4 linked regions of the Rhinolophus ferrumequinum genome follow. The main gene of each other region encodes a partner of the protein of the gene in region 2 in a complex. Links are inferred from orthologs where the notes say so. Each region holds a gene or a part of one and is shown on either strand. Other genes may lie near its edges. The genes, in order: TSSC4, PRPF8, LSM6 and TXNL4A.

Region 1 (7,918 bases), on a different chromosome or scaffold from region 2:
TCTGCCACCAAGGGGAGCAGGCGGAGCTTTAAAACCTCTCCGAGCCCCCGACCGACATTGTCGGGTAGGCCCAAGTGTGGGAACGGGTGACCGGGCAGGCTGGAGAGCACAGAAGGTTGCAGCCAACGGGTCCTGGGGAGGTGGGGTCTGCACAGAGACACAGAGCCTGAGGAATACCCAAAAGCTTTACTGTTCCCCACGGGCACCCAGTGGGCCCATCAGTGGCAAGCAAGGTCTCTGCTCGAGTCCACTGCCTGAGCCCCAGCCAGGGCCGCTGGCGCCACCGACAGGCAGCCCACCGGCTTCCTTCCCAAGGGGTTGGGGCTCCTCAAGTCCAAGGCAGGCTCTCGGGTCAGCCCTCAGCCCCCTCAGCACCAGGGACCTCAGAGCTGCTGCTCTTGTTCCGAAAGTGGTCTCTACTGCGCTTCCTGCTGCCGTGGAAGCCAACAATGTCCACCCCTGGGGGGCCCGCTGCGGACTCGGTGTGGGTGTCCCCCTCGGGCGTGCCCACCTCCTGCACGCCCCCACGCGGGCTGCTCCACTCCTCGGCCTCTGGGCTCCCGGGCCTGGCCAGGTGGGCCAGCTCCACAGGCCCCTCAGCCCCACCAGGCGCCCCTGCCTTTCTCAGACCCCGCTTCCTCTCTGGTCTGGCCTCGCCGGCGCGGGCCGGTTTGGTGAAGACGACTCTGCCCTCCCCACAGCTGGAGGGGTCCTGGTTGAAGGAGGGCACATAGTGGCCGGGGGCGGCCAGGCTCCGGGAGCCCAGGAAGGCCAGGGCGGCAGCCTGATTGCTGTGCTCACTGGCCTCGGCCACGTCTTCCAGGCTGTACTTAGTCCAGCGCTCAGGGTGGGTCACATAGTCGGGGACGGGGGGCGCCCTCCGGGGGACAGGGCTCTGACTGGCCCTGCCTGGGCCTTCTGCTGGAGGTTGGCGTGAGGGCGCCAGGGGCCGCTTGAAGCCCCCACGGTCCCCTAGGCCAGTGTGGACCACAGAGGGTGGCGCCCGCCCGGCTGCCCCCTCCAGGCAGTCAAAGATACTGTGGCTGCGCTGCGAGAAGGTGGAGCTCATGCCTCTCAGGTGGAACGGCTGCACTGCGGCTGTAGGGAGGGCCCTGGGGGGCGAGGGGGGCTCGTCGGGGCCTGAGTCCCCCTGGGCCTCCCCTGGCAGCCCCTCTGGGGACAGAGCTTCCAGCTCAGCACTGCCAGGCAGGCTGAGGTCAGAGTCCGAGTCGCTGAGGGAGATGGTATCAGAAGGCAGGACATCATCATACTCGGGGCCCTGCTCGACCTCCAAGCCAGGGGAGGGCTCGCCAGTCCCCGCCTCAGCCATGTGTCCTGGGCCACACCACACCTAGACCAAAACAGCCCATGAAGTTGGTTTCTGAGGACACCATGGGTTTAAAACACGTTTCGCCTGCAGACCCACTGCCCCGGGTCCCTCTCCCCCCGAACGATCCTCCTCACCTTCCTTGTCTGCAGGGGATGGTGAACGGAGCCGCTGGCAGAGGTGGCAAAGGCGTGGGTGTGGCCTCCGCCTAGAAGGTCTCCAGGCACAGCTCTGTTCAGCTGTTCAAGCGTAGCTGAGAGAGAGAGAAGGGAGAGCCAACCATCAGCCCAGAAGGCGAACATGACGGGGTGGGGGGGTGCCATGACCCGGAAGTGGGCCTGGGTCTACAGAGCCGCCGACACGGGCTGGGCCAGGCCAGGCCAGCGAGCAGGTGTTTTTGACATGTCACCTCCTTCAGTCCCAACAATCCTCTCAAGTGGAGCCCAACTCGAGCGACCAAGAGAACTGCTGGTGGAAGATTCCGGTCGTGAGCAGCCAGTGGCCCTTGAACCCAGGGCCAAGGGCGGCCCCCGCTCAACACTCCCACTCACAACCGAGTGCAACCACTTATCCGCTGCTTACGTGGCGCGTGGCACCTGCCTGGCATGTGGGGAGCTTTGTTCCCGTTTGCTGGGCGATACCCTGGAGTCCCAGGGGGCTGTGCAGCCAAGTCCTCGGCATCTGAGGGTCCAGCTCTCAGGCAAGTGGAGCGTCTGTGATCACCGCGCACAGCCACGCTGGGCAGAGGCAAGCCGCCGCGGCTCTAGGAGCACCTTCGGGGGGCATGTCTCTTCTCCCGCAGCCCTCCCCGCACCCCCTGCTTCCTCCCCAGCTGAGCAGAGAAGCGCTGCTGACACCCGTGTGGTGGCCACGTGTGGCCAGGCAGCTCGCGGCCTGTGTGTCCAGGCCCAGGGGTCAGCCCAGCCTCACGCTTCTGCCCTGCTCTCAGCCGTCCATTCACCGCCTCCTCCCCCCGCACCGCGCCTCCCTCGCCGCAGGGTGGGGGGGACTCACTGCTGACGCACCCACCGAGGAACAGGCCAGGAGGGGCTCTGACGGCCCTGTCCCGGGGCAAACAAAGGCGAGCCCTCCATTCCTGAACGAAGGACTACCTCCAGGAGCGCGAAGGGGCGACAGAGCCGGCCCCGCAGTTCCAAGCCGACTCCTGTTTCCCAAATTCGCACTCCCGTCCGCTGCACCGCTGGGGACGCTCCCGCGACTGCGAGAAGTAGCAGAATCAGTGGGACACTCGGGGGGCGGGGGACGGGGAGACCGAGCCCCCCAGAGAAGGCATCCGGGCATCCGTTTCTTCGGAGTTCTCCGAGCACTTCGGGAGCCCAGTGGCCGCAGAGCCGAGGCGGGGGTGGCGCTGGGTCTCGGGCAGGGGTGTCAGAGGGCCGGGGTCTAGGCAGGCCAAGTCCCAGGAAGTGGGTTCTCTCTCCCTCCTGGGAAGCAGTCTTCACTTTCTGCACTGTGCGTGCCCAGAGCCTCGCCGCCTGCGCACCAGGCTCTCCCTGTCGGGCCTGGGTCTCGGGGACCAAGCCGGCCTGGCTGGGCCACGGTCCGGGGACCGCACGAGTCTCGGGGTCCCAAGGGCCAGGCCTCGAGGCACGGGGGTCTCTGGGCTCGGGGCAGTAGGCCCCGACTGGCCTGTGCCGCCATCCCCTCACCACCAACCTACCGGCTCACTGTGGCCCGATCGCCTCCATCTTGCGCCGCGCTCGACCCTATGGGAAATTGAGTACCCCGCCGGCAGAGTGCCGCGGCTTCCGCCCCTGAAAAACTACATCTCCTAAAACGTACTGGGCCGCTACTCCCGAGGCCTGTCGGGACTTGTAGTCCTTGCGCATGCGCTCTCTTCGCAGCCTCCACTCCCCGGAAATGGCGGCGCTCTTTCGCGAAGAGCCCGGAACCGACTGAGAGGAGGCGGGCGGGGGAAGGGGGCGGAGGGAGAGGCCGAACCGCGACTCCCAGAATACACGAGTGCTAACGGTCAGCGCCGTGTTCCCGTGGCCCCATCGCGCGCAGCCGGAAGCCATGATGAGAGGTCCCTCAAACCGGAAGTGCGTCGTAGTGCGCGGCGTACGCGGCGCCGTTCGCGGACACTTCCGGCCCTGGCCGGAAGCGGCCGGCCGCGCCCCTCTGGTTCTGAGAGACGTGCGCACCGCAGGTTGAGCGCTCATCTCAACCTCCGAGTGTGTTAGGGCTGGAGGGCAGCCGGGGCGGGGGCAGGGGTGGGGGTGGGGGGGGCAGGCCACTTGGGAGTGGCGACCTGGCCCCGCCGGCCGATGGCCAGACTGGTCAGTGCTGCCGGGAAGTGGAGGACAGGTCCCGGTCTCCCCTGGTCAGGCCAAGTGTCCCTGCTCCCTTTCCCTCTGGGGCCGCTTCGTGCCCCACAAGGTCGCGGCGCCTCAGCCCCTAGCGGCTGGCCTGCTGCACCCGGTCCCTGTCCCAGGCCTGGTGTCCTGGCGTGCTCCGCGCATCCGGTGTGCAGGCCCTGCCGCCTGGCCCGGGAAACCAAGGAAGAAACAGCCTGTTTTTCCGTGCAAGCTCGCAACACCTCATTCCTAAGCGCCCCCACGTCCCCGTGTGGCCTCGTGGGGAAGTGCTGGTCCGGTCCACCCCGAGCACTGGTTTTGTAGTGGAACCAGTTTGCAGGTGACACCCAGCCCTCTGCTAGGATGTCCCCGCGGCCTCGAGCATAGGGGCCAGGAGAGAGGAGGGGCCGCCGTGGGCCGTCTTACTGTCCCAACCAAGCTGCCCTAGCACAAGATGTGGAGGGGCACACGGAGGCCCCATGACACCCCAACCCTCAGTGCAGCAGGGCTGGGGTTCGTTTCTAAAATCAGCCCCCAAGAAGGCCACAGGAAGCCCTTCCCGAATCCCCAGCCAGGCCTCGTGGCCTCAAGGGGTCAATTTCAAGTACACACAGGTCAGGGCCGCCCGGTGGCTCCGGCGGTTGGAGCTCCGTGCTCCTAACTCCGAAGGCTGCCGGTTCGATTCCCACATGGGCCAGTGGGCTCTCAACCACAAGGTTGCCAGTGTGACTCCTCGAGTCCCGCAAGGGATATTGGGCTGCGCCCCCTGCAACTAGAAAACGGCAACTGGACCTGGAGCTGAGCTGCTCCCTCCACAACTAAGACTGAAAGGACAACAACTTGGGAAAACATCCTGGAAGTGCACACTGTTCCCCAATAAAGCCCTGTTCCCCTTCCCCAATAAAAAAAAACAATAAAGTGCACACAGGTCAGTGCCTGTGTGAGGCCCATGCCCTATGGGAAGAACAGCTGTGGTGGGCCAGGTGGCCCCTCCTGGGTGTGGCTGAGACCTTCCCCTCCAGCCCCTGCAGGATGCCACTTGGCCACAGCCACCCAGCTTCTCCACAGGCAAGGAGAGGACCCTCAGACACTCGGGAGGGAGCAGTGCATCTGTCCTCTACAGAGCTGTCCCTCAGAAGGGGATCCCCCACCTCAAGCATGCCCTACACCACAGTCCCTGGCCGCCCCACCCGCCCTGCCCGCTCCTGGCAGCAATGCATGAGGAGGAGAGCTGGGAGTGCGGTTGGGTGGAGGCTTCTGTAGGCAGCACAGGGCCCAACAAAGGGGCACTTGCCACCTGGAGGATGGAGTCCTCCCCGGACACCCCAACAAGGTGGGCAGCATACCTGGGCCCGGCAAAGTCCACAGAGCTGAGCCCCACCTGTGTGAGGGTCTTCTGTCCCTTGGGCCACCCCGGGACAGATGCTGTGGGCACAGGAAGGGGCTGGACAGTTTGTTAGCATGCCTGGTTTTTCCTTCTTTATTGAATGAATTTCAAGATGTAATTACAATCGTAGGTGACGTGTTAGAAAGGACAGATGCATTGAAAGTATAAGGCCACTCATAGACCCAGCTCTAGAGACAGGTGGCAGGAGAGGAACACGGATTAAAAAAGGCGTGAGCCGTGCAACCCATGGGGACAGGTGGGTGGGAGGGAGGGCACAGCTGGAGTGGGGGGGCCCCCTCGGCCCCCTGGAGAGGCCTGGTTGAATAGGCGGAGTCCCCCAAGAGGCCTCAGAAGCAGAGGGGGCCATTGTCCTGCAGTCCCAAGGCCCACTCACACGCCACGTACAGGTGACGTCAGCCCCAAAAGGTAACAGGGAACTTCAGGACAAAAACAAAACCTCAAAAGTAAAAGGACTAATAAGTGTAGTAGAGTAATACCAGAAAAGTTATATACACAGGCGGTTATATACCCTCCTCAAAGTGTCCAGGTCGCTCTGGGGGCACCGCAGGGGTCCCGCCGGGCAGAGCGGTGGAGCCTCAGTACACAGGGCTGTTCCGGATGCCACAGCAGAGCACCATGCTGAGGATCATCTCGAAGATCTGTGGGAGGCGGCCCGGTCAGCACCCGGAGACCCCGTCAGCACCCGGAGACCCCGTCAGCACCCGGAGACCCCGACAGCACCCGGAGACCCCGACAGTACCCGCCATCACCCAGAGACCCGGTCAGCACCCGGAGACCCCGTCAGCACCCGGAGACCCGGTCAGTACCCGGAGACCCGGTCAGCACCCGGAGACCCGGTCAGTACCCGGAGACCCGGTCAGTACCCGGAGACCCGGTCAGTACCCGGAGACCCCGTCAGCACCCGGAGACCCGGTCAGTACCCGGAGACCCCGTCAGCACCCGGAGACCCCGTCAGCACCCGGAGACCCGGTCAGTACCCGGAGACCCCATCAGCACCCGGAGACCCCGTCAGCACCCGGAGACCCGGTCAGTACCCGGAGACCCCGTCAGCACCCGGAGACCCCGTCAGCACCCGGAGACCCGGTCAGCACCCGGAGACCCGGTCAGTACCCGGAGACCCCGTCAGCACCCGGAGACCCCGTCAGCACCCGGAGACCCGGTCAGTACCCGGAGACCCGGTCAGCACCCGGAGACCCGGTCAGTACCCGGAGACCCCGTCAGCACCCGGAGACCCCGTCAGCACCCGGAGACCCCGTCAGCACCCGGAGACCCCGTCAGCACCCGGAGACCCCGTCAGCACCCGGAGACCCGGTCAGCACCCGGAGACCCGGTCAGCACCCGGAGACCCGGTCAGCACCCGGAGACCCGGTCAGCACCCGGAGACCCGGTCAGCACCCGGAGACCCCGTCAGCACCCGGAGACCCCGTCAGCACCCGGAGACCCGGTCAGCACCCGGAGACCCCGTCAGCACCCGGAGACCCCGTCAGCACCCGGAGACCCCGTCAGTCCCCAGCCAGCACCGAGACCCACGGGGCCTGAGTAGACGGCCTGCTGCCCCTGCTCACCATGATCACAGCGACCACAATGGCCGCAATGCCGATGAGGTACAGCTTCCCCGAGAAGAGCTCATCAATCTTCTGGTGGCAGTCTTTCTGTGGGGGATGGCCAGCGGGCGGTCAGGGGTGCTGGTCCTCGGGCCCCCCGCAATGCAGCAGCCTGGGGTCATTGCAGAAAGAGCACGGAGGGGCACAGCCCTGGCTGCCCTCAGAAGAGGCGTGAACAGGGCCGGGTCTCTGCTGGGTTTTATCTTACATCCAGTTCAAAACAAATGTGCTGTGTGCACCCTCTTCTACTCAGAGACCACTCAGCATCACAAGGATGGATGCTGACCAAGGGGTCACCCTCCACGCCCACTGGCTGCCGGACACTGAGACTCCCCCATCGGAACCCGCACTTTCCCTGGGGGCCATCAGTAGAACACAGCCCCCAGGCAGAGCACCCGACTCAGACCACAGCACCACCCATGGTGGCCATGTCCCTGACGTGCCCCTGGGGGCCCACCCAACACCTGGGACCCGCAGGGGGCAGGGACGCAGAGAAGTGGGGAACAGCCGGCCAGCCCGCCTGGGGCGCCCCGCCGCACCCACTGCCACACACCTTAAACACGCTGCTCATGAAGTTGCTGTCCGAGGGACACAGATTGTTCTTGTACAGAGACGTGGCCAGTGAGATCAGGGTGTTGGAGCCGCAGCAGCTGAGCTGCAGAGACCCAGGGGGCCCACGATCAGCCCCACGCATGTGTGGGGAGACGGCCAGGGACATGCATCCCGACGGCTTCCCCATTCTGGCGTGCGGGTGGGGGCTGGGATGTCCCCTCCGGGAAGGACGTTGCCCAAGGCCCCTCCTTCCCTCCTTCCAGCTCAGCCAGGCTGCACTCCCACCGGCCTGGTCTATCTGGTTCCCACAAGGACCCAAAGGTCCCAGAGAAGCCCCCCCAGGGCTGGCACAGGAAGCCCCTCGGCCCTTGAGAGCAGAGCTGCCAGACCCCAGGTCTGGGCTGAGGTCAGACAGCACCAGCCAGGCTCCGGCTGCCACCCACCTCAGGCGGCCCCCAGCCCCCGCCTCCCCGGCCAGCGCACCGTCTCGTGGAAGGTCTTCACCACAGTCTTGGCATTGTTAGCGTCGTCGTCCAGCACGGCCTGCTGCAAGGCCTGGTCATAGAACTGCTTCACGTCCTTGGCAATCTGGGGACGGATGTGGTCACACTCAGTGAGGGCCAGCCCCCGGGGGACAGGCCCAACCCCCACCCCCAGCTCAGCCCCCAGGCCATCTCCTCCAGAAAGCCCTCTGTGGCCTTCCTACCAG
Region 2 (6,827 bases):
TTCCTCATCTGCTTTTCTGTTATTCTTCTTCTGTGAACTGACTCTTTCTCATGGCTTTAGTATCAAATTTAGTCTGATGCTTCAAGCCCTCATCTCAGCTCCTAGACTGCCACTTCTGTATTTCTAGCCAGAGGACTCCTTCATTTTTATGACCTGCAGTCACCTCCACATTCAGTTTTAAACTCCTCGAACAATGAGGAGACTGGTTTGACTGCAGTGAATGGTCCATAATAATGGCAGTTAATGTTTTCTGTTCAGATATTTTCCTGGCTTGGTCACTTTTCCTCCTCAATTGAGCTTCGTCAGACTAACTCAGACAGACTGTGTTTGACCAGTTAAGAGACATTAAGAGAAGTACTTAATTTCTTTAAGTTTTAGTTTCTTGATTTGTAAATTATTTCATTTGCACATGTGTTTCCTAGCTATAAAAGAAAAAGCTTGGAAATCATTGTCAAGTAGGTCAAATCATTGGCAAAATATCAAAATTCTGCTTGGAATTCAAGACCAGCTTTAATTTGGCTGAAATTTTGCCATCCAACATTATCTATGCTTCTTAGCATGAACATAGAAGATGATATGGCAGTATGGTTAAAAACATAAGCTCCAGAGCCATTTTTTACTGTTTCCAGTATTTACTGTCTGTGGGGCTTTGAGCAAGTGGCTCAATTTCTCTGAGCTTCAGTTTTTTTACCTATAAAGTGAGGCTAACAATAACACCTACCTCATTGGATCATTGTGACAATTAAATGAACTAATACATATAAAGTTGTTAGACAGAACCTGACACATGTGTCATGCAATTAATCATGTGACCCAAGGCAGGTTACTCCACCTTTCTGAGCCTGGGTTTCTCATCAGTAAAATGGGGATCGTAATAATAATAACTCTCTTGTTAGATTGCTTTGATTGCTTATTTATTTATTAACTTTTTATTGTGAAATAATTTTAGGCTCACATGAAAGTTACAAAATAGCACAGATAGCATAAAGATAAACCTATAGATCAATGGGATAGAATTGAGAGTCCAGAAACAAATGGTCAGTTTATTTTTTGACAAAGGAGCCAAGACAATTCAAAGGGGGAAACAATAGTCTTTTTAATAAATGATGCTAGGACAACTGAATATCCCCATGCAAAAGAAAGTATTTGGACCCCTATCTCATATCATGTACAAAAATTAACTCAAGGTGAATCATAGACCTACGTGTAGGAGCTAAAACTATAAAACTCTTAGAAGAAAACATAGGATTGTGTCTTTGTGACTTGGATTAAGCAATGATTTCTAAGATTTGACACTAAAATCATAAACAATAGAAGAGAAAATTTTAAAAGTTGGGCTTCAAATATATGGTGTTGGAAGGAGAACTGTCTCTGGGTGGTGAACACACAATGGGATTTATAGATGATGTAATACAGAATTGTACACCTGAAATCTATGTAATTTTGCTAACAATTGTCACCCCAATAAATTAAAAAAAAAAGTTGGGCTTTATACAAATTAAAAACTTTTGTCTTTCAAAGAACACCGTCAACAAAGTGAAAAGATAACTCAAAGAATGGGAGAACACATTTCCATATCATATGTATGACAGGGGACTTGTATCTAGAATATATAAAGAACTCCTACAACTCAATAATTTAAAAAAACAACTCAATTTTAAAATGAGTAAGGGATCTGGAAAGACATTTCTCCAAAAAAGTTATATGAGTATATATACTACACAAGGATGAACTTCAAGAACATTATACTAAGTAAAAAAAAGCCAGTCAGAAAAGACCACTATTCTATGATGCCATTTATATGAAATGTCCAGATCAGGAAGACCTATCGAGACAGAAAATAGATTAGTGGTTGCCTAGAGCTGAGGAGGAGGAAGTAGGAGGATATGGGGAGTGAGTGCTAATGGTTACATCGTTTCTTTTAGGGATGATGAGAATGTTCTGGAACTAGATAGTGATGATAATTGCACAACTCTGTAAACATACTAAAAATCATTGGATTGTGTACTTTAAACAGGTGCACTTTATGGAATGCCAATTATATTTCAATAAGGCTGTTTCGAAAATAGTACAGAGAGTTCTTGTGTACTCTTTGCCCACTTGAGAAGTTCCTACATAACAATAGTAGGACAATCAAGACCAGGAAATCGACATTACTATTGGCATGATTACAAATTGACATTAGCAGTACAATAGTGTTAATGAAACTATAGACAGTATTAGGATTTTACCAGGGTTTAAAACAATAACTGGTACATAGTGAACCTTCTACAGGTGGTAAAGACTTCACTACAGTAACAATGATGAACACGATGATGCTGCTGAACTTTCTACTGCAGCCAGGTTGAAGCTCTTTTCAGAGCATGCCATGTTTGTGCCTCTTTCTAAATGCTAATTCTAGCAGTTTCTACTACCTGGGATTCCTTTTTCCTTCCTCTTTCTCTACCCCATCCAATCCTTCAAATCTACCCATTGCCATCAAACCTTTCATAATGCTCCTCTCCCTTCTTTGAACTGTATGAACCTCCACACCAGCCAAAACTTGTCTGGAATCTTCCTTTGTATTTTTCTCTATTTTACCTTTGACTCCCAAATTCCCAACAAGATTGAGAGGCTGTATTGGTTACAATTCCTCTGCATTCTCCACAATAAACTTGGTGTGATTCAAACAAATTTATGTGTTAAGTCAGATTGAAAGTTGTTACCAAAGGATGGAGCAAGAGAGATGGGAGGGCAGACGGGTGGCTCAGTTGGTTAGAATGTCAGCTGTGGGCCAGGGGGCTGCCAGTTGGATTCCTACATGGGCCAGCGAGCTGCGTCCTCTGCATTTAGAATGAAGTCAGTGAGCTGCCGGTCACCTCCCTGGTGGCCAGATGGCTCAGTTGGTTGGAACAAGGGCTCTCAACCACAAGATTGCTGGTTCGACTCCTCCACTCCGGCAAGTAACAACAGCAACTGGACCTGGAGCTGAGCTGCACCCTCCACAACTAAGATTGAAAGGACAACAACTTGACTTGGAAAAAGTCCTGGAAGTACACGCTGTTCCTCAATAAAGTCCTGTTCCCCTTCCCCAATTAAAGAAAAAAAAATCTTAAAAAAAAAAGAGGGATGGGAAGTAAAACAAGGATGGTAGGAGGATTGTAGGAGATGGAGAGCAATTCAGGCAGAGCCTGAGGGACTCAAGAAGCATTTATAGGCTGTCCAATATAAACTCCATAGTGTAATCATTGCCAAAGAGAGAAAAGAGGACTGGAGAGGGAAGGGAAAAGACACCCAGAAATGTTGTTCCCCAAGACCTTTTATTTTTCTATGTTGGCAGGCAGGATTAAATGTTCTGCTCCCGAACTCCGATCACAACACATCTTAAGAACCTGGGTTCTTGTTTGCATCCCTGCTACCCTGTGAACTCAGTGAGGTTGGCTTTTTCTTTGCTATATTCCCACTAATACATAGTGGGTACTCAATATATGATGGTTGAATGAATGAATGAACAAAGGACTGGATGACTTGGAGCTAGTACTGCATCTCAAGTCTACATTTATGAGACTAGACACAGAATAATGTGCAGATTTTGACAAATTTATTAAAACTCTGGAAGCTTGGGTTTCTCACGATCAGAGGACAGTCGCGGATAAGACCGCGAGGCTTTATGAAAGGGCCCAGAAGCAGGCTCAGAAACGCGGGAGGCGGGGCTTGCGCCTGCTCCGACCACACCCCCTCGCATTCTAATAATTCCGCCCATGGGCCCGCCCCCTCCGGCCCGATATGCAACTCTAATTGGTGAGTTCTCTAACTTGTCTGAGGACCTCGGCGCCTATTGGGTCAACTACTGAACCCGGGTTGCGCACTTCCCGGCGTTGGGAACGCGAAGCGGACGTAGGCTTGCCGCCATTGCGGTGCCAGCGAGCGGCGGGCTGCGAGTTTGGGGGGCTGTAGGGGTGCGTAGCGGGCTTTAAGGGCTGGCTGCGGGAGGCGTGGTGGGGTCAGGCTGAGCGGCGGGAGGGATTGGGCCGGGCCGTGCCTACTCTGAGCGAGGCGGTACTGCAGGCCGCGGGTATCGACGCGTTCCTGCTGCGCCTCTTGTAGGCCCCGGCCCTGTTACTCCTTAATTTTTTTCTTCCGCCGCCCCCCAGATTCTCCGGACATGGCCGGAGTTTTTCCTTACAGAGGGCCGGGTAACCCGGTACCCGGCCCTCTAGCCCCGCTGCCGGACTACATGTCGGAGGAGAAGCTGCAGGAAAAAGGTGAAGAACGCATGCGGGAGCGGTGCCTACGGGCCCGGAGATGTAGGGACGGGTGTGCGCGCGTGCGCATCGGGTTTGAACCCTTTCCCTTTGTTTTGGCAGGTGTCAAAACATTAGGCGTTAGCGCGGTTCTTAGCCCCCTCCCCATTTATTTTTTCACCTGATCGGGTCTTGAAGAGCGTCTGTTATTTGCAGGCACTGATCCAAACAACGGAGATAACAGTAGCGATGCAGACAGAATCCCTGCCCTTACAGAATTTAAATTGCAATGAAGAAAATAGAAAATAAAAAACTTAAAAATCTGTAATAGAAATGCTAGGCAGTGATAACGTGATGAAGGAAAAAATAAAGCAGAGCGAGTTGATGAGAGAATTGGCTGGGAATCTCTTTCTGGATGCTGGCCTCTTTTTCATACATCCTGACGGGAGCCTACCCTAGGGCAAGAGGTGGGGAGGAGTAGGCTAAGGGTCCCTTACCTGAGTTCAGTCCCTTAAACTGAGGTATCTTTGTAGCCCGAAAATGGCAGCAATTACAGGCCAAGCGCTATGCGGAAAAGCGGAAGTTTGGATTTGTGGATGCTCAGAAGGAAGACATGCCCCCAGAACATGTCAGGAAGATTATTCGAGACCATGGAGACATGACCAACAGGAAGTTTCGCCATGACAAAAGGGTCTACTTGGGGTAAAGAACATCCTGGAATTTTTTTTTTTGGAGTCTGGCCCCTTTCCCTTCTCTCTGTCCTATAAGTTGTAGTCCTGGATAGCTGCTCTATCATTTGGGACGTTAATCTTCTAGTACAGCCTGTCTTGATGATTAGAAGAGAGGAAACCACTAGGATCCTGTGATAGTTTCCAGATCTTCCAATTATGGTCCAGATTTTACTTCCTGATCTGGGACTGGAGCTTTAATTTGTGCTGTTGGTACTATGCTAAGATGTCCCTGTCTTTGAATGGGTTGAAGCCCAGAACAGGACACTTTGTGCATTCTTCTTGCCTCTCACTCCTCAGTGACCAGAATTCTCAGGTTTGGGAATAGTTAACTCCTGCGGTCTCTATACTCTTGTTTGTCTGTGGTCTGAGCTGGGTGAGTACAAATGCCGTAGCAAATCCCTTTCCCATTTGGACATAAAAATGTTAGCTACTTAATGAACTAGTCTAAGACAGCCATGGAAGTTTTGTTTATTTCAGAACTATTTCTTGAGAACTGCTAGGTGCAAGGGAGCACCTAGCAGGGAACAGGAAGTGGTAGTCTTTCTGGAGCTTATAGTCTAGTGGCATGACAGACATGAGACAAACGGTTACAGTAAAGTATCTGAATACTTTATTATTTATGGGAAAGTACAGAGAGAATAGAAAATGAGACAGCTTAAAAGCTGCCTTTAGAGGGAGAGCTGTAGATTTAGAGGGACTGAAACCCAGTATTGTGGGACTGTGAAGTTTAAAACTGGCATAGTTGCGGTGGGGGCAGAGTTCCTGGTCATGGAGGGCCTGTGTGCTAAATTTGGGAGTTGGACTGTAAGGCAGAATTTTCTGTGGGATATGATACTGTGATACCATGTTGCGTCTCTTCGTGGAACAGGTAACAGAACATCTTGTGATTTCTAATCATCTCTTCCTAATGCTGCAGTGCCTTAAAGTACATGCCCCATGCAGTCCTCAAACTCCTGGAGAACATGCCTATGCCTTGGGAGCAGATTCGGGATGTGCCTGTACTATACCACATCACTGGAGCCATCTCCTTTGTCAATGAGATTCCTTGGGTCATTGAACCTGTCTACATCTCCCAGTGGGGGTGAGAAGGGCCGGAATACGGCGTGTGGTGGTGGTGGTGGTGGTTGGGAGGCATTGGGTAGAAACCGTTGTGTGACATTGTTGGCTTCCAGGTCAATGTGGATTATGATGCGGCGAGAAAAAAGAGACAGGAGGCATTTCAAGAGGATGCGTTTTCCCCCTTTTGATGATGAGGAGCCACCTTTGGACTATGCTGACAACATCCTAGATGTTGAGCCGCTGGAGGCCATTCAGCTAGAGCTGGACCCTGAGGAGGACGCCCCGGTGTTGGACTGGTTCTATGACCACCAGCCATTGAGGGATAGCAGGAAGTAAGTGTGGTTGGAGTAATTACCACTCTTGTGAGAGGTTTGGAAGTCCAGGGGTCTTGAGAGAGCAGTTGGTAGTGTGGCTTGGCTAGCTGGTATACCTGTCTGACGTGGGCCTGTCTTTTTTCCCTTAGGTATGTGAATGGCTCTACTTACCAGCGCTGGCAGTTCACACTGCCCATGATGTCTACTCTCTACCGCCTGGCCAATCAGCTCCTGACAGACTTGGTAGATGACAACTACTTCTATTTGTTTGATCTGAAGGCCTTCTTTACGTCCAAGGCACTCAATATGGCCATTCCTGGAGGCCCCAAATTTGAACCTCTTGTTCGAGATATCAACCTACAGTAAGTTGGAGAGAGTAGGGATTTTAGGCATCTTGGCTTGAATAAAATCTACTCTCGATCCTTAAGATCCATTGTAACTTCCAAACTCTTCAACTGGTCTGCTCGTCTTTGATTTTGTACCCTAGGGACGAAGATTGG
Region 3 (7,495 bases), on a different chromosome or scaffold from region 2:
AACGGAAAGAAATATATCCAATGTGATTTTGAGCTATGTCACTGAGCAGAAGACATGCAAATCATTGTTTCTTGGAAATGCCTACCTGTAAAGTTTCACCTATTCTTAGAGTATTTAAAGTTTAGGGTGAAAAAAAGTTTGAAAAGCAAAAAATTGTTATGAAACATAACATTACAACCCAAGTAAATGCAGCTTTAGCCGAATACATCTGTGTCTGGGAAAGCTCAGACACTGAGGACAGCTCTCTAAACAGAGCCTTCCTTTCCGGCTGACCAGTCTCCCACCCGCGGTTCTAAGCTTCTCGGGGACAGGGAAAATGCCTTACTCTTGTGGTATCCCTGGTACCTAAGCACATGGCCCAAGCCTAAGGAAGAGGCATTTAAGGGCTGTGCCAAGCCCAGCCTGTCCCTCCCCTGCCCAGCTCCGCGGAGTGACGAGGACAGTACAGTCCATGCACTTCAGCAGCTGTAACACAGGCACATCTCTATTACTGAGCACCAAATAAAAGAAGGATGGAGGAAACAAACGTTTCTGTGTTGTCCAAGAACCAGCTGCAGCCCAATCAACAGAGATGTTGCTAAAATGCAGGATCCTGCAGCTTACTCCTAGTCAGACCCTCTAGGGAAGGGGTCCTGGAATTTATATAAAGTTTCCCAAATAATCCCTAGAAGCAAGTAGTTCTTGACCGGGGGGATTTTGCCCCCTACCCTTAGGGACATTTGGAAATGTCTGCAGACATTCTGGATTGTCCTGAATGAGGACGTGGTGCCACTGGGATCTATTAGGTTGGTGCAAAAGTAACTGCAGTTTAAAAGGTTAAAAATAATCGCAAAACCCACAATGACTTTTGCACCAACCTAATAGTAGGTAGCGGTAAGGACACTGCCTACCCTTCCACAAAGCACAGGACAGCCCTCCATAACAAAAAAGTATCTGCCCAAAACGTCAACTGAGGTGGAGAAACTCTGCGATTAGCAAAAAAACCATTGTTCTCTGGTCTTAACGCAACAAGAAGTTTTAAAAAACCTTCAAGGTGTAAGAAATGGGAACAAACATTTAAGTTCTAACCACATGATAGAATATAAATTATAACTTATTAGAAATTTTATTCCAACGTTTAGAGACTCTGAAAACAACTGTCAAAAAATCTTGAAGGGCTTGACATTCTAAATAATGGATTCCCAGTCCTGGCCATGAAGATGGTCACTTTCCCATTTTTCAGTGTCACAGATCCCTGAGATGATTAAAATCTGTTACCTGGTAAAATTCTAAAAGGACAGAATAATCCAAGTGATGTAAACATCTTTTTAAATTCTAATATTGAGTATGCCAGTTTAGTAAGAGATCACCTGACGCCCTTGAGAGGTGGGAAACCTGAGTTCTAATCCCGCTCTGCTACTTAATTTGCTGTGCCTCTCCCATCACTCATCACTTCACCTCTCAAACAAAGCCCCAGGTCCCTCATCTGCAAAATAAGGCAGTTATGCTAGCTGATGACTAAAGTGATCTAACAGCCTATGCAGTAACTTCCCACACACAAACATAACCTCTGAAGATTCCTTCACAAAATTCAAGCAAGCAGAATTGCCAGACAGCACCAAAAAAAAAAAAAAAAAAAAAAAAAAATCCAAAGAGAGGCTCAACTTTCCTGGTTGATGTACTGGAAATGTATCACTACTTTTGGTGAAACAGGAACAATCCTACAAGAATGATGTAAACTACTAAAACTATTTTGGAAAACAATCTGGCAATAGGCATGAAGACCTAAAAAGACCTTACTAGAACACAGCATCTATTCTAACAATTTTACTTCTCACAATCTAGTCCAAGTAAATACTCTGAAATCAGTTTTAAAAAGGAGTTTATCAAAGTACTATCTGAGATGCTAAACTGAAACAAGAATTCACAAATACCCTAAACGCCCCACAGTTGGGAAATGCCTGAGAACTTTATGGGACCTACACAATGACGGAACAATCAAAGGATACAACATTAGAGATGATATTTAAGAAAAAATTTTAAATGAAATTGGAAAACTAAATATAGTGTTAAGTGATAAAATGAGTGCTCTTAGTTCAAGGAGAAATGAGCACAAGCAAGAGTACAATATAGCAAGAAATTGTTGGTGGACGGGTTCAGTGAATGATTTTCTTCACTGAACTTCCGTATTTTCAGCTTTTCTACAACAGTCTCCTATTAATAAGGGGGTACACTAAATCGCGATCAACCTTATCTGCATCACCCTACCCCAGACACCCTGAACAAAAATACCTGCTATGAACGCGCGCGCGCCCCTACACACAAAACCCCGGTGACAGGCTTAACACTACACAGTCGTGGGCATCCCCAACCTGAAACCGCGGTAAGGTGAGCTGGCGCAGCAATTCGTTCCCGGAGGCCGGGCGCCACCACGCAGGGCTGCAGGCCTGGCCCCGTGGCCGGGGTCCGCTTTCCCGCCGAATCCCCAGGAGGACCTCCGGAACTACACCCCCCCCCCCCAGCCCAGCCGGTGCCGTTCCTCACCGCGCGGTCTAAGCGCCCCCCGGGGAGGGGCCTCAGGGCCGGGCTCAGGGACCCCAGACCCCACGACCGGAGACCTCCCAGCCATTCTAGGCGCGCAGGAGAGAACGTGAGCGCGGCATTTGGGGGAACCCGCCACCGGCAGGCTCCGGGATGGGCGCTCCTTCCCGGGGCTGCCGGGCCGGCCCGGAGTTGCTACTCCCCAAAGCGGCCCGGGGTTAGGGAACACTGGGGCCTCCCACGCCCCCCGCGACCGCGAGCTCACCTGCCGGCCGGGATCCGGAACCCCCACTCTGGGAGCCCCACAAGCCCCGCCTCCGCCGACAGCGGGATGAAACCGAAACTGAAACCACCAAGGCAGCCGCACTTTTCTCCTTCAGCGAATCAGTGCTTCCCGGGCTATGGCGGCCCGCGGGACCAAAAAGACCGGGTCTTGCAGGGGCGCGCAAATCCAAGAATCCTGGTTTGCCTAAAGGCAAAGTTGGTGCTGTGGGCTTCAAGTGGAAAGCGCTGGTGTGCTCTCCTTTAACGGAAAGCACTCCATCCCCCCCAAAAAAAACACGTAAAAAGAAAAGGAGGAAGTGATCTTCAGCCAAGACTTCTTTTAGGCAGGCATGTAAGAAATAGCTTGAAGTCATAGGAAACTGGGATTTACTGCTAAAATAATGATTATACATATCCAGAAATGTCCTTGAATAATTTAATGCAAATAAATACATAAAACAAGTGGCCTCAAATCTCTAAATCCACCTCTGGATTTTGATTGTGTGAAGGCGAAGCCATTATTAGCAAGAGATTGTTTCCGTGGCAACGTTAATTGACACAAAAAGAATCAAAATCACTAAAGTAGCTCTACTATAATGGCATAAATTGAGGTACGTTACAAACTAGTTCTAATTGGAAATGGTGGGCAGGCATTATTTAAGTGCTGTTATGGGAACTTGGTTTGGAATTTAGCATGAAGTCTCTATTCTTGTAATTAATGGAAAGGGAGAGGAAAACTCATACTCACTTGATTCCTTTTATCTCTACACACATGCCCTCATCAACTTAAACTTTAATTCTATATAATTTAGAACACTATAAACAGTGATAACAGCTTTAAACAGATTCTTAACCCTAAGCGTTATAGAATCTAAGATGCAGAATTTTTTTTCTAAGACAAAAAAATGCTTTTCCCCTCTTATAAGCCTATCTCTTAGCATGAACCTTTGATTGGTATGGTTCAGAGAACATAGGCATGTTCTACCAAAACATTCTCTGATTTGGTAGAAAAGAGAGACTTTCTTATATCCTCATATAAAAGCTCATTTTGGGTAAAGATAAAGCATCACAGGTTTATTGAAAGACTATATTTGAAGTTTTTGCGGTATAAAGTATAACGTAAACCAAAATATTAAGTAAAGTTTTATTTAAATTAAAATAACTACAAAGAATGAACATAGTAGGATACAAAGCCCTATCCCTAAAAAATGTTCACAAAAGACGTCAAATTGTACCACAGTTCTCCCTGGTTGTTTGAATTGTTCAAAACATTCTTGTTTTAATTCTTCCCTTTTACCACAGAGCCCCGATGGAGCCATTAAAACTGGTATGGTGGTCAGGGGGCAATGAGGAATTTTAAGGGCATGGTTCATCTCTAGAGGTAGCTTCAACCTTTCCAAGGGGCATGGATCTGTAAGGGCCCAACTAGACAATCGAGATGGGTGCCATGAATGACTGCAAAAGCTAACGAATTTATCAAAATGTGGTTGTACCCAGAACCTTCTCAGCAACTTATAATTAGCTTTTCTCAACTCACAAAGCAACTTTCCATATTTCACAAGTTATTTTTTTAGCATCTGTAATTTTACAAAGAAAACATGTGCAAGATTTTTTCTGAATACTAGTCCACCAAGGACTAGTCTTCAAACACGGGAACACAAACAGTAATTTATTAAGGTCATAAAAATAATTTGACAAACTTTAGTTTAGCTTACATAGTTTAATTTAGTTTAACTGTTACAATTGATCGACCTACATTGACACACCATTATCACCCTAAGTCCATAGTTTATATTAGGGTTCATTCTTAGTGTTGTACATTATATGACAAACATATAATGACATGTATCCAACATTACAGTATAATACAGAGTATTTTCACTACCCTAAAAATCCTTTGTGCTCTGCCTATTCATCCCTCCTCTATCCCCACTAATCACTGGCAACCACTCACTATCTTTTTACTTTCTCCATGGTTTTGTCTTTTCCAGAATATCATAAAGTTGGAATCAAGCAGTATCATGTAGCCTTTTCAGATCAACTTCTTTTACTTAGTAATGTGCATTTAGGGTTCCTCTATGTTTTTTCATAGCTTTATAGCTCATTTCTTTTTAGCGCTAGATAATAGTCCATTGCCTAGATGTACCAGAATTTATCCATTCACTAAAGGGCATCTTGGTTGCTTCCAAGTTTTGGCAACTATGAATTAGGCCGCTATAAACATCTGTATGCAGGTTTTTGTGTAGACATAAGTTTTCAAGTCATGGGTTGAGTTTTCAACTCTTTGGGTGAATACCAAAGAGTGCAATTGCTAGGTTGTATAAGGAGAGAATGTTTAGTTTTGTAAGAAACTTCCAAACTGTCTACCAAAGTGGCTGTAGCATTTTGCATTCCCACCAGCAGTGAATCAGAGATCCTGTTGCTCCACATCTGCACAGGGTTTGGTGTTTCCAATGTTTCGGATTTGGGTCATTCTAATAGGTGTGTAGTGGAATCTCACTGCAGTTTTAGTTGGCATTTTCCTGATGACAGACGATGCGGATCATCTTTTCATATGCTTATTTGCTAACTATATGTCTTCTTTGGTCACGTGTCTTTTCTGATCTTTTGGCCATTTTTAAATCGGACTGTTTGTTTTTTATTGTTGACAGTATATTTTGGAGAACAGTCCTTTATCAGCTATGCCTTTTGCAAATATTTTCTCCCAGTCTGTGGCTTATCTTCTCGTTCTCTGAAGCTATTATTGTCAAAATAGGCAAACGCTAGTATAAAAATACTAAGGTTCACGCTCACCATTCTATTATTTGTTCCGCACTTCTATAGTCCTATGCCTTTAGAAAACTGTTTTTCAGTGTTTCATGTTCATAAGAAAAAGTATCATGTCTAGCTTATTTTTTAAAAACATCCAACAAACAGCTTTGTGGACATGTGGGTGGTTGTATTATGCTAACAATGACAGATACAAATGTGGAATTGCATTGGCCAACAGTCTCCAAAGCAGACTTTAATACCTAAATCAGTGTTATCCTTCTAAGAACACTGGCTGGTCTTGTTCCAGCAATGCATTACTGGTATGAACTGCTGGCATGCACTTGGACCTTTCCTGGACCTTCGGACTGGACAACAAAAACATCTCACCTGTCATATTCTAGTTCGGGGTATTCAGACCACTATTATCTATCTTTTATCATGGGATGTAAAAATTATGTGTTGGGGCAGCTGGTTAGCTCAGTTGGTTAGAGCATGATGCTCGTAACCCCTGGGTTGCCAGTTCAGTCCCCTCATGGGCCAGTGTGAGCTGCGCCCTCCCCAACTAGATTGAAACAACTACTTGACTTGAAGCTGATGGGTCCTGGAAAAACACACTTAAAATAAATAAAAGTTTTTAAAAAACCTATGTGTTAAAGAAAAAGAAAAGAAAGACACCACATAGTTGTTAAATACCTCTCTCTCTCTCTCTCTCTCTCTCTCTCTCTCTCTCTCTCTCTCTCTCTCTGTGTGTGTGTGTGTGTAGCCTTTCAAGCATCTCACTGTTATGCAGAGTCTCAATTCCAACTCTCTACCCCACATGGGGCCAATGCCTTGTCTCTTGTATTCATAAGCCTTAAAACTGTCACTTCCGTTTTTCCTCCTATTGACTTGATCATCTTCTGGGTGACTGCGAGTGCTTTAAAACTGGTTTCATCAGTTAGAGCCCAGGCTCTTCACTTCACTGGGCCAACTCCTAATCAGACATTAGGCCTTAACTCAAACATAAATTTCTTAGAGAAAGCCTTTGATAATCCCTCACACTAGATATTCCTCCTCTTGTTCATGATCAGAGAATACTATACTTCTCCTTTGTACCACTTGTAAATGCCACAATTCAATAACTCTCCGTGTGTGTGTGTGTGTGTGTGTGTGTGTGTGTGTATGTTTTCTCCCTCATATGTTCTCTGTGAGTGCAGGGCCAGTGTTTATGTTATTCAACACTGTATTTACTGTAATATCTTCTGAGAAGTAATATAAACTTATTGACTGAAGGACAAATTTCTCAGGAAAGTCGGTGTGCCTTTTATTTTTCATAAGATGGGACATATTCTGCATCACAGGTACTTGGTTCCAGATATAATGTTTGAAATGTTTAAATAAATGCTCCGACTTCATTGGCCAGCATTTTAGTATAACTTGGATTTCAAAAGTGAAGGTCTCAGGGTCTGAGCTCCTCTGAGGAGAGTCTTTCAAATGCTGTGATGCTTTATGCTCCACTGTGAACTCTAGAAAACCTCTCTCAGCTGTAAAATTCAGTGAAATCGGTGTGACGCTGCCCTTGTATTTTAATCAAGATGAACTTGAAAGGTGAACATTGTAAGTGGGAGAAATTATTTATAATTTGGTAATAAAAGTTTATGTCTAACACTCCAAATTTCATACATCTGCTATGTGCTGGCCCTGAGATATAAAACAATTGAAGTTGCCTTTACATTTGGCCTTATATGAAAGGTCATAAATTAGAATGATAGCATTCGTCCTTTTTCCTAGCTCACAAAATTTCCATATTAACATCTTCACCTCAAACATAAATGGTTACCCAGCTGCAAAGAAAAGAGTTGTGCTGGCCTTTATGAATTATAGTTTATGTTGGAAATCTGTGGTACATAGGCTGCCGCTCATCTTTCACTGGAGTGTATCCACTTCAATGAAGCTAATTCTACCACAGTGAAACTAATTA
Region 4 (7,090 bases), on a different chromosome or scaffold from region 2:
GGTTCAATACACCACATTCCAGGAGAAACATCAGGTTCGGCCTCAACACTGAACTTTTACTCACTTCAGAACAGCTGGGATATCCAAACAGGGCTCGTGACAAGGTGAGGAGGATCCCCCATTGTCTGCCATTTCTGCAGAGGGAGATTTTTAAACAGAGTTAAATTGTTCTTTACACTAAAGCCTTCGATTTCAAAAATTCCTGTTGAGCTTCTCCAGAGAGAGCTTCCAGAATTATAGTCTTATTTTGCCCTTATACTAAGAAGAAAATAAAACATTAATAGTCTTGGAATGCACTTCAAGTTTGCACTTTGAACTGCATATTATAATACAGTATTAAAAGTTTATTAAAATAAAAACCCAAATTTTTGGACAAAAGAAAAAGAGAAACTTCAAGACCAAACAAAAATATTCAAAGTGAGCCCAATTAAAACTGTCCTGATCAACAGGTTCAAAACAAAACAAAAAAAAGAATGTGTTTACTACTGACACGGCTGTAACCTCAGTCTGTAACTGACAGAAAGGAATTAGGAAAGAACAACTCTGGTGAAAGTCCCTGAACACTTACGTTAACTCACAAAATATGCCTCCTAGCTAAGAGCATCTTGCTGAGTTTTGCTCAGACAGGAAGAGCCAACCAACCCTCAGGTCTCCAGCCATCCTGGCCTCGTGCTGAGGGCAGCAGGATCGGACATCACCTGGAGGTTATGCCGCCACCTGTGAGGCAGAATCGAGAACACACACCCTGAGTTATTTCAAAGTCAACAAGCTAATGATTTGCTTATTGGAGAAGTGCTTGGTCGTCTTCACTGAAGTCAGCAGTAGCTGCCCTTGACCTCTACAGCTTGAACAATGAATAAATGACTCCCTGGTACCACCTGACTCATGACCTCTGACCCCAACTGGGAGGCCCCCTAGTGTAAGCCAACAGCCCTCTCCAGAGCTCCCCAGGCACCTCCTCAAGCTCCTCAATGTCTTGGTGTCCAAGAGGAAGAGGAGGGGATCGCTGACAGACGCAGCACTCCTATGATAACCCTGACCTCTGTTGAGGGGTTTCTGAGAGTCACATCACAGTTCCCAAGGGAACTTCTTAATGACACAGTTTCGGGACCTCACCCCAGACCTACAGATTCAGAATCACTATTATGCCCTTTGGTAAGTAGTGCCAGTGGTACCTATGACGACTGACATGGAAGCTGCACAACGCACCACCCACACCTCACTCTTCTACCAAACATGAGACAGTAAAAATTAGCAATGGCAGGTCAGATAGCTTTTCCTTTCTTAAATTCAAAATATATCCTTACATCTGATACTATTCACTCAAAGGTGTTATTTTAACCCAGCTTATTTTAGCATCTCCTATTCCCATGAAAGATGTCTTCAGTGTTTCCACTTTTACTGTTCATTAAAATGAATGTCCTCTCAAATCATTTATAGAATATTAATAAGTTAATTATTTCATGAAAACCCCAATATATTTGCCTTTTGTCCTCTTGCAACAATTGCAAAAATACAAATCAAAGCTAACTTAAAATCGCCACAAGGAAATTATAAACAAAAGAATTACATGTCTGGTTATACAATAGTGCCCTACAATTGCACTTTTATTGTCATCCCATAAGTGCCACAGACAAACCAGTGTACTAATATTAAAAATTAGGAAAACTAGCTGTAACAAAGCACAATTCTACTTTCTTCTACCAGGCCCTTCATTTAAATCACTCTAAGCTATAAATCTAGTGACTTACAAAGAGCATGGTGGGGTAAAGAAAAGAAAAACGACAAAAAGAAAAAGAACAGGATTTATTATGCTATTAACATAAGAGTTCTGCTTTATAAATTCAACAAATAAACACAGTCCCCCAAAAAGGACAATCCTTTTAAACTAAGCTATTTAAAATAAGCTCCAACGCCCTTGCCAAAGTCTGCAAATGTGTTTTGTTCATGGTGCTACAGATGTATAGTCTGAAAATATCCTATCCCTAGGATTTATTAACTTATTTCAGGAGAGGGATCACGAACCTCTTTAAAATTTGAAAATGTATGGAAACTTTTCCCAGAAAAAGACATGTGCTATTACGTACGATTTCAGGGAGCACATCCTCACCTCACAAGGTAAAAATCTGTCCGTGTGTTAATCCTGCGTCTTCCCTTTATTTGGAGGCTGTGCCGCACATTAGAAATTAAGGCCTTAAGAATAAACATAGAATGCAGTTTTTAACCTCACTTTAAAATTTTCCCGCCAACTGGCAAAGCGGACGGTGGATCGCAACGTGAAGCTATGGGGCTGCGTTACCTTTTCCGCTATGCTGTACAGAACCTCGTCCATTTTCATGCACGTGGGGTCCCAATCGTGTCCAAACCGAATGACGACCACTCGGTCTTCTTCCGAAAGGATGGCCTGATCCACCTGCCAGCCGTTGTGCAAGTGCGGGAGCATGTACGACATCCTGGCGACTGAACTGGCCCCTGCGCGAGAGGAACTCGGTGGACGAGCTTCTTCCGCCTCAGCCACAGCGCGCGGCGCTGGCGGGGGCTGCCGCGCCGCTCCCCACAGACCAGGACCCCGCTCCCCGCCGGGCCCCGATCCCACGCCGGGCCCCGCTCTCCGCCCGGCCCGGCCCGGCCCACACGCCCAGCCCAACTCCCCGTCGGGCCCCGATCCCCGCCGAACCCACTTCCCGCGGAATCCCGCTCCCTGCACCTCGGCTCACACGCACCTCCCGCGAAGCGGTCACCCCCGGCGCGGACGCGCACTAACGTGCCCTGACGTGCACGTGCGCGTGTCTGCCGAGCGTGCGTCCGCCGTGCGTGCCCGTCGTGCGTGCGCGTGTCCGCAGCTGGGAGGCCTCGCGCTGGGTTCTGGTGGTTGCAGCGAGTTTTGCTGCGAGGGATGGCTGCGGTGGGTTGTGAGACCTGTTGTCTGTCCGGTGAGAGCGTCAGAGAGCCCGGGCTTCCCCGCGACATCCCCGCGACCGGCGGGAGGCGGCGCTGAACTGAGAGGACTCCATGAGCCCCGCGGAGGCGGCGGCGGACGGAGAGGACCGCGGGCGGTGGTGGGGCCGCCCCGAGAGGTGGGCACCTCTGCGGCGGGGCGTGTCCCCTTCACTCCCACGCGGAGGCCCCAGAGTAGTCGTTTTGGCGCTCACCCGTTCCAGACATAAACACGTGTGGGGACAGAGCCCCAAAAAGCAGTTTCCAGGCTCTCGGCCTCACATAGAAAGGTGCTGGCTCAGGTAGTAAATGGCCATCGACTGTGATCAAACGGCCGTCAGCTGTAACCAGTGAGCCATTGGCCACTAATATAACTGCCGTGGCTAGGCTAGCAGCAAATGGGGGCTAGCAAGAAGATGGTGGCTGAGCCTGCAAGCGGCGCAGTGAGGGGTGAGAATTGTGTGGCTCCTGGTCCCTGTGTCTCCAACCCAGCCGCCAGCGAGAGTAGAGTGGTGTGACTGCCCTACCTATGGCTCCGTGGGTGTTCCTGTTTGGCCTCACCATATCCTGCGTTCTTATGTGGGGAGCGGGACCAGAGACCCCGCAGGACACCCTGCATGACACATGGTGAAGTCGGCAGGATCCCCTGCCCTACAACACGGTTCGCTTTACTTGTCAAAAGCAGTATATTAACAGAAGTACGCCAAGCTAATGCACAAGACTCCAATGCCCCCAAATAATTTACTGCGACTAGCGTTTCTACATTCTATGTGGTGAAGTACATGTCAAGTGACCATTCTAATCCCATTGAAGCATTCAGTGGCATTCACTACGTTTGCCTGGTTCGCCTCGTTTGCAGCCGTCAGCACTGTCTGTCTTCAGATAGTAGGTCTTTTGTTCAAAAGCTTTGTTGAGGCAGCATTCACACAGACTGTGATGTGAAAGTCACCCACTTAAGGTCAAGTTGTTCAGAGTTGTGGAACCAACTCTTCTCTTACCAGACACACAATATGGAAATAGTTCCTCCCATTCTGTGGATTGACTTTGCACTTTTTATTGGTGTCATTTGTAGCACAAGTTTTAAATTTTGAATAAGACCAATGTATGTATTTTGTTTCTTTTATTGCTTGTGCTTTTGGTGTCATATCTGAGAAACCATTGCCTAATTGAAGTTCATGATGTTTACTCCTGTTTCCTTCCAAGAGTTTTTTTACTTTTAACTCTTATATTTAGGTTTGTGACCATTTTAAGTTAATTTTTGTGTATTTTGTTAGATAGGTGTCCAGCTTAATTTTTTTTTTTTTTAAGGAGGGCCCATCTCACAGTGGCACATGTGGGGATCAAAATGGAAACCTTGGTGTTACCAGCACCACGCTCTAACCAACTGAGCTAACCGGCCACCCCCCAGCTTCATTCTTTTGCACGTAGATATCCAGTTGTCCCACACCATTTATTGGAAAGGTTATTTCCCAACCAAATTGTTGAAAATCAATTGACTTTATAAGGATTTTTTTCTGTAGTGTTAATTCTATTCATCTATCTCTCTGTGTAGTCTTATGTCAGTATCACTATCTTAATTAATGTAAATTCGTAGCATTACCGCTGACACCAGGGGTTGTGTCCAAACCAAAACAAAACATGAGCAGAAGTTTGCAGCAGAGAACGAAAAGGTGTATTTAAGGAATTGGCACCAAGTCCCGAGACACGGGTGAGCTATTGCTCTCAAAGACCTGGCTCCCCGATGGCTCTAGCAGCCAGGTTACAGGAGGGAACAATCATTAATCGTGGTCTCTATGGGAGTGGGGGTCGTGGGCTCCACTAATTGGTCGGGGCCAAAGCAGAGAGCAGTTGGTCATGGCTGTGGGTCCTGGTGTCAGTCATGGCCTTGTTTGATCCAGTTCGCAGGGGGTGCGGTTGTGGGGCCGATCCGCTTTCATGAGTCCAGAGCTGAAGCATAACTGAGGCCAAGGGTCAAACCTTGTTCTAGTTGGAGGTTTGGTGGTTGTGTCTTGGTCATGATTGATAGACCTGACGCTTTATTCTTAAGTGAATTTGGTGTTGACCAGAACCCAGTGTCCTAAGGGCTTAAATGCAAGTGAATCATAGTTTTATCAGGATAAACAAAGCCTGCTTGGATTAAAGCAATATGCATGCTATAAGAAATGAAGTTCACGTACTGTGTTAGTAGTAAGTCTAGAAATCAGGAAGTGACTCCTCCAGTTTTGTTCCTTTTCAAGATTGGTTTGGCTTTTCTGCGTCCTTTGCATTCCATATGAACTTTAGGATGAGTTTGTCAATTTCTGCAAAAAAGGCAGCTGGGATTTTGATAGGAAATGTTGAATCTGTACTCCAATTTAGGGAGTATTGCTGTCTTAATATTATGTTTTCCAGTCCATGGATACGGGAGGTCTTTCTGTTTATTTAGGTCTTTATTTTCTATGGAATTATTATTATTTTTTAAACTTTTTTATTTATTTAAGTGTGTTTTTCCAGGACCCATCAGCTCCAAGTCAAGTAGTTGTTTCAGTCTAGTTGTGGAGGGCGCAGCTCACACTGGCCCATGTGGGAGTCGAACTGGCAACTCTGGTGTTATGAGCATCGCACTGTAACCCACTGAGCTAACTGGCTGCCCCTTCTCTGCAATTATTTTAAATAATTTCAGGTTATTCATAACTAGTGTGTAGAAATACAATTGGTGTTTGTATACTGATCTTGCATTCTGCAACCTTACAGTGTTGGGAGGCAGGATGCCATCCATTTTTCCCAGTGGTTTATCACCACTGTCCAGGAGGGATGCTGAAACAGGAGGGAATGCCCCAGGGGTCTTCTGGAGAGATTTCAGGTCAGGAAGAGTCCCCTCATCCAAACGGAAACTCTCAAAATAGCCCTTACAAATTCACAGTATTTGTAGTTTCAACGTCCCTTTGCCATAGTGGCTTCTCCACATCCTCCTATCAATAAGCCCCCAGAGGGACCACGGGCCGCTTAGTTATCAAGGACAACAGATGTAGCACTACTTACTTCATTGTAAGCGTGCCCCCTAGGATGTCATGGCGTGGGCCGGAGACTGGACCGAGCTCTGCCGCGTGGGCGTGGCTGTGACCCCAGACCTCACCTGGGATAGGTGAGCCACGTTAAAGTCCTGACACGCATCCTGACCCGTATTTCAAGATCCTAAAGGATTTAACAGGGGAAAACCAACGTTGTTATTATTTATTCCTGCCGCGTTTGAGAGGTTTAAGGTGGCTTCAGGGACTCTGCTAGAAATTAAAGGTCAATTTGTACAGGTATTTATTTTTCTGAGCTATAGGCAATGGCAGATTAAGCTTTAAATGGGTAAAATTCAGGTACTCACTGTTAGGCATGGCTGGCGGAATGAGTGAGTTGCGAGCGACCAAAATTGGTCTATTAGAATTTATTTGGCATGTTTGAGCTGCAAAGATCATAACCTCCCCCAGCAAAAAGGGGTATAGAGTTTTATAGGTGGGGGTAAACAAAGTTGTTCCCCCTTCAATGCTTCAGGGGGTTTTTGTTGCATTGTCTCTAGCAGCAAAGGGTTTCAGGGCATGACCTAGCCCTCCTGCTGGCTCCACACCCTGGCCCCCAGGCCTCCGTCTGCCCAGGCCCACTGATCACAAGCCCCTAGGAGCCAGAGTTCAAAGCAAGACAGGATAAGCTGGTTTCTGCTTTCCTGGAGGCTTCTCCAGGCCTAAGGCAAACATTAGTGAAAGATACAAGGCCTAAAGCAGGATGAGATGGCTTTTAAGATACGAAGCTTCCTGTTCCTGGCCTAAATATGGCCTAACACTCACATCAGATTTTAGCTCATAGTTTATTCCCTTATAGGAATCTAGTTTTTCAGGAGTGTAGCACCTGTTTTTGCTGAGACACATTGTGGTTTTAAATTATATTGGGCTTGTTGATACCTGGTGACTAAAGAAACATCACAAAAGATGAAAACAGTTCAGTTTTCATCAATCCCTCACTAGCAAACAGATTGTCAAGGACTCCGAACTCTTTGGCATAGCTGAATCTTTTAGGTCCCCTTATCTAGTCATGTACTGATCAGATAATTTTCCATGCTAAGATAATATCATGCGAAGGATAAGAAAGCAGAGGGGCTTCAGCCTCTTTTCTGAGTCTCTTGTGCACA

The links.
Region 1: the proteins of PRPF8 (region 2) and TSSC4 are in contact, whole or in part, in a cryo-EM structure (PDB 7PX3), measured with the Homo sapiens proteins. The link is inferred for Rhinolophus ferrumequinum from reciprocal best matches to the Homo sapiens genes PRPF8 and TSSC4. Residues at the interface, in NP_006436.3 of Homo sapiens: Thr2087, Asn2088, His2089, Ile2090, Tyr2091, Val2092, Ser2093, Ser2094, Asp2095, Lys2108, Leu2111, Lys2112, Glu2184, Thr2219, Pro2220, Thr2224, Leu2225, Leu2262, Leu2263; in NP_001284587.1 of Homo sapiens: Pro153, Asp154, Tyr155, Glu160, Arg161, Trp162, Thr163, Lys164, Tyr165, Ser166, Leu167.
Region 3: PRPF8 (region 2) and LSM6 share a complex: the UniProt entries of both Homo sapiens proteins name them as parts of the U4/U6-U5 tri-snRNP complex. The link is inferred for Rhinolophus ferrumequinum from reciprocal best matches to the Homo sapiens genes PRPF8 and LSM6.
Region 4: PRPF8 (region 2) and TXNL4A share a complex: the UniProt entries of both Homo sapiens proteins name them as parts of the U4/U6-U5 tri-snRNP complex. The link is inferred for Rhinolophus ferrumequinum from reciprocal best matches to the Homo sapiens genes PRPF8 and TXNL4A.

Annotation. Positions count from the first base shown.
Region 1 is NC_046294.1:1,585,793-1,593,710, reverse strand, and holds TSSC4 (protein TSSC4), read right to left. Parts: upstream 3,003-7,918; 5' UTR 2,630-3,002; coding exon 2,440-2,629; exon of another isoform or gene 2,357-2,439; intron 2,342-2,356; exon of another isoform or gene 1,935-2,341; coding exon of another isoform or gene 1,928-1,934; intron 1,581-1,927; coding exon 1,465-1,580; intron 1,352-1,464; coding exon 353-1,351; 3' UTR 161-352; downstream 1-160. Other genes in the region: CD81 antigen, read right to left, coding at 5,629-5,691, 6,619-6,705, 7,211-7,312, 7,693-7,797. UniProt on the Homo sapiens protein: Protein associated with the U5 snRNP, during its maturation and its post-splicing recycling and which is required for spliceosomal tri-snRNP complex assembly in the nucleus.
Region 2 is NC_046304.1:16,246,462-16,253,288, forward strand, and holds the start of PRPF8 (pre-mRNA-processing-splicing factor 8), read left to right. Parts: upstream 1-3,808; 5' UTR 3,809-3,938; intron 3,939-4,133; 5' UTR 4,134-4,144; coding exon 4,145-4,244; intron 4,245-4,756; coding exon 4,757-4,925; intron 4,926-5,870; coding exon 5,871-6,035; intron 6,036-6,126; coding exon 6,127-6,345; intron 6,346-6,476; coding exon 6,477-6,689; intron 6,690-6,814; coding exon 6,815-6,827. UniProt on the Homo sapiens protein: Plays a role in pre-mRNA splicing as core component of precatalytic, catalytic and postcatalytic spliceosomal complexes, both of the predominant U2-type spliceosome and the minor U12-type spliceosome.
Region 3 is NC_046301.1:19,252,634-19,260,128, reverse strand, and holds the start of LSM6 (U6 snRNA-associated Sm-like protein LSm6), read right to left. Parts: upstream 3,014-7,495; 5' UTR 2,786-3,013; intron 2,779-2,785; exon of another isoform or gene 2,524-2,778; intron 1-2,523. UniProt on the Homo sapiens protein: Plays a role in pre-mRNA splicing as component of the U4/U6-U5 tri-snRNP complex that is involved in spliceosome assembly, and as component of the precatalytic spliceosome (spliceosome B complex).
Region 4 is NC_046302.1:60,340,869-60,347,958, forward strand, and holds the start of TXNL4A (thioredoxin-like protein 4A), read right to left. Parts: upstream 3,001-7,090; 5' UTR 2,971-3,000; coding exon 2,724-2,970; exon of another isoform or gene 2,682-2,723; intron 2,473-2,681; coding exon 2,300-2,472; intron 718-2,299; exon of another isoform or gene 569-717; intron 135-568; exon of another isoform or gene 65-134; intron 1-64. UniProt on the Homo sapiens protein: Plays a role in pre-mRNA splicing as component of the U5 snRNP and U4/U6-U5 tri-snRNP complexes that are involved in spliceosome assembly, and as component of the precatalytic spliceosome (spliceosome B complex).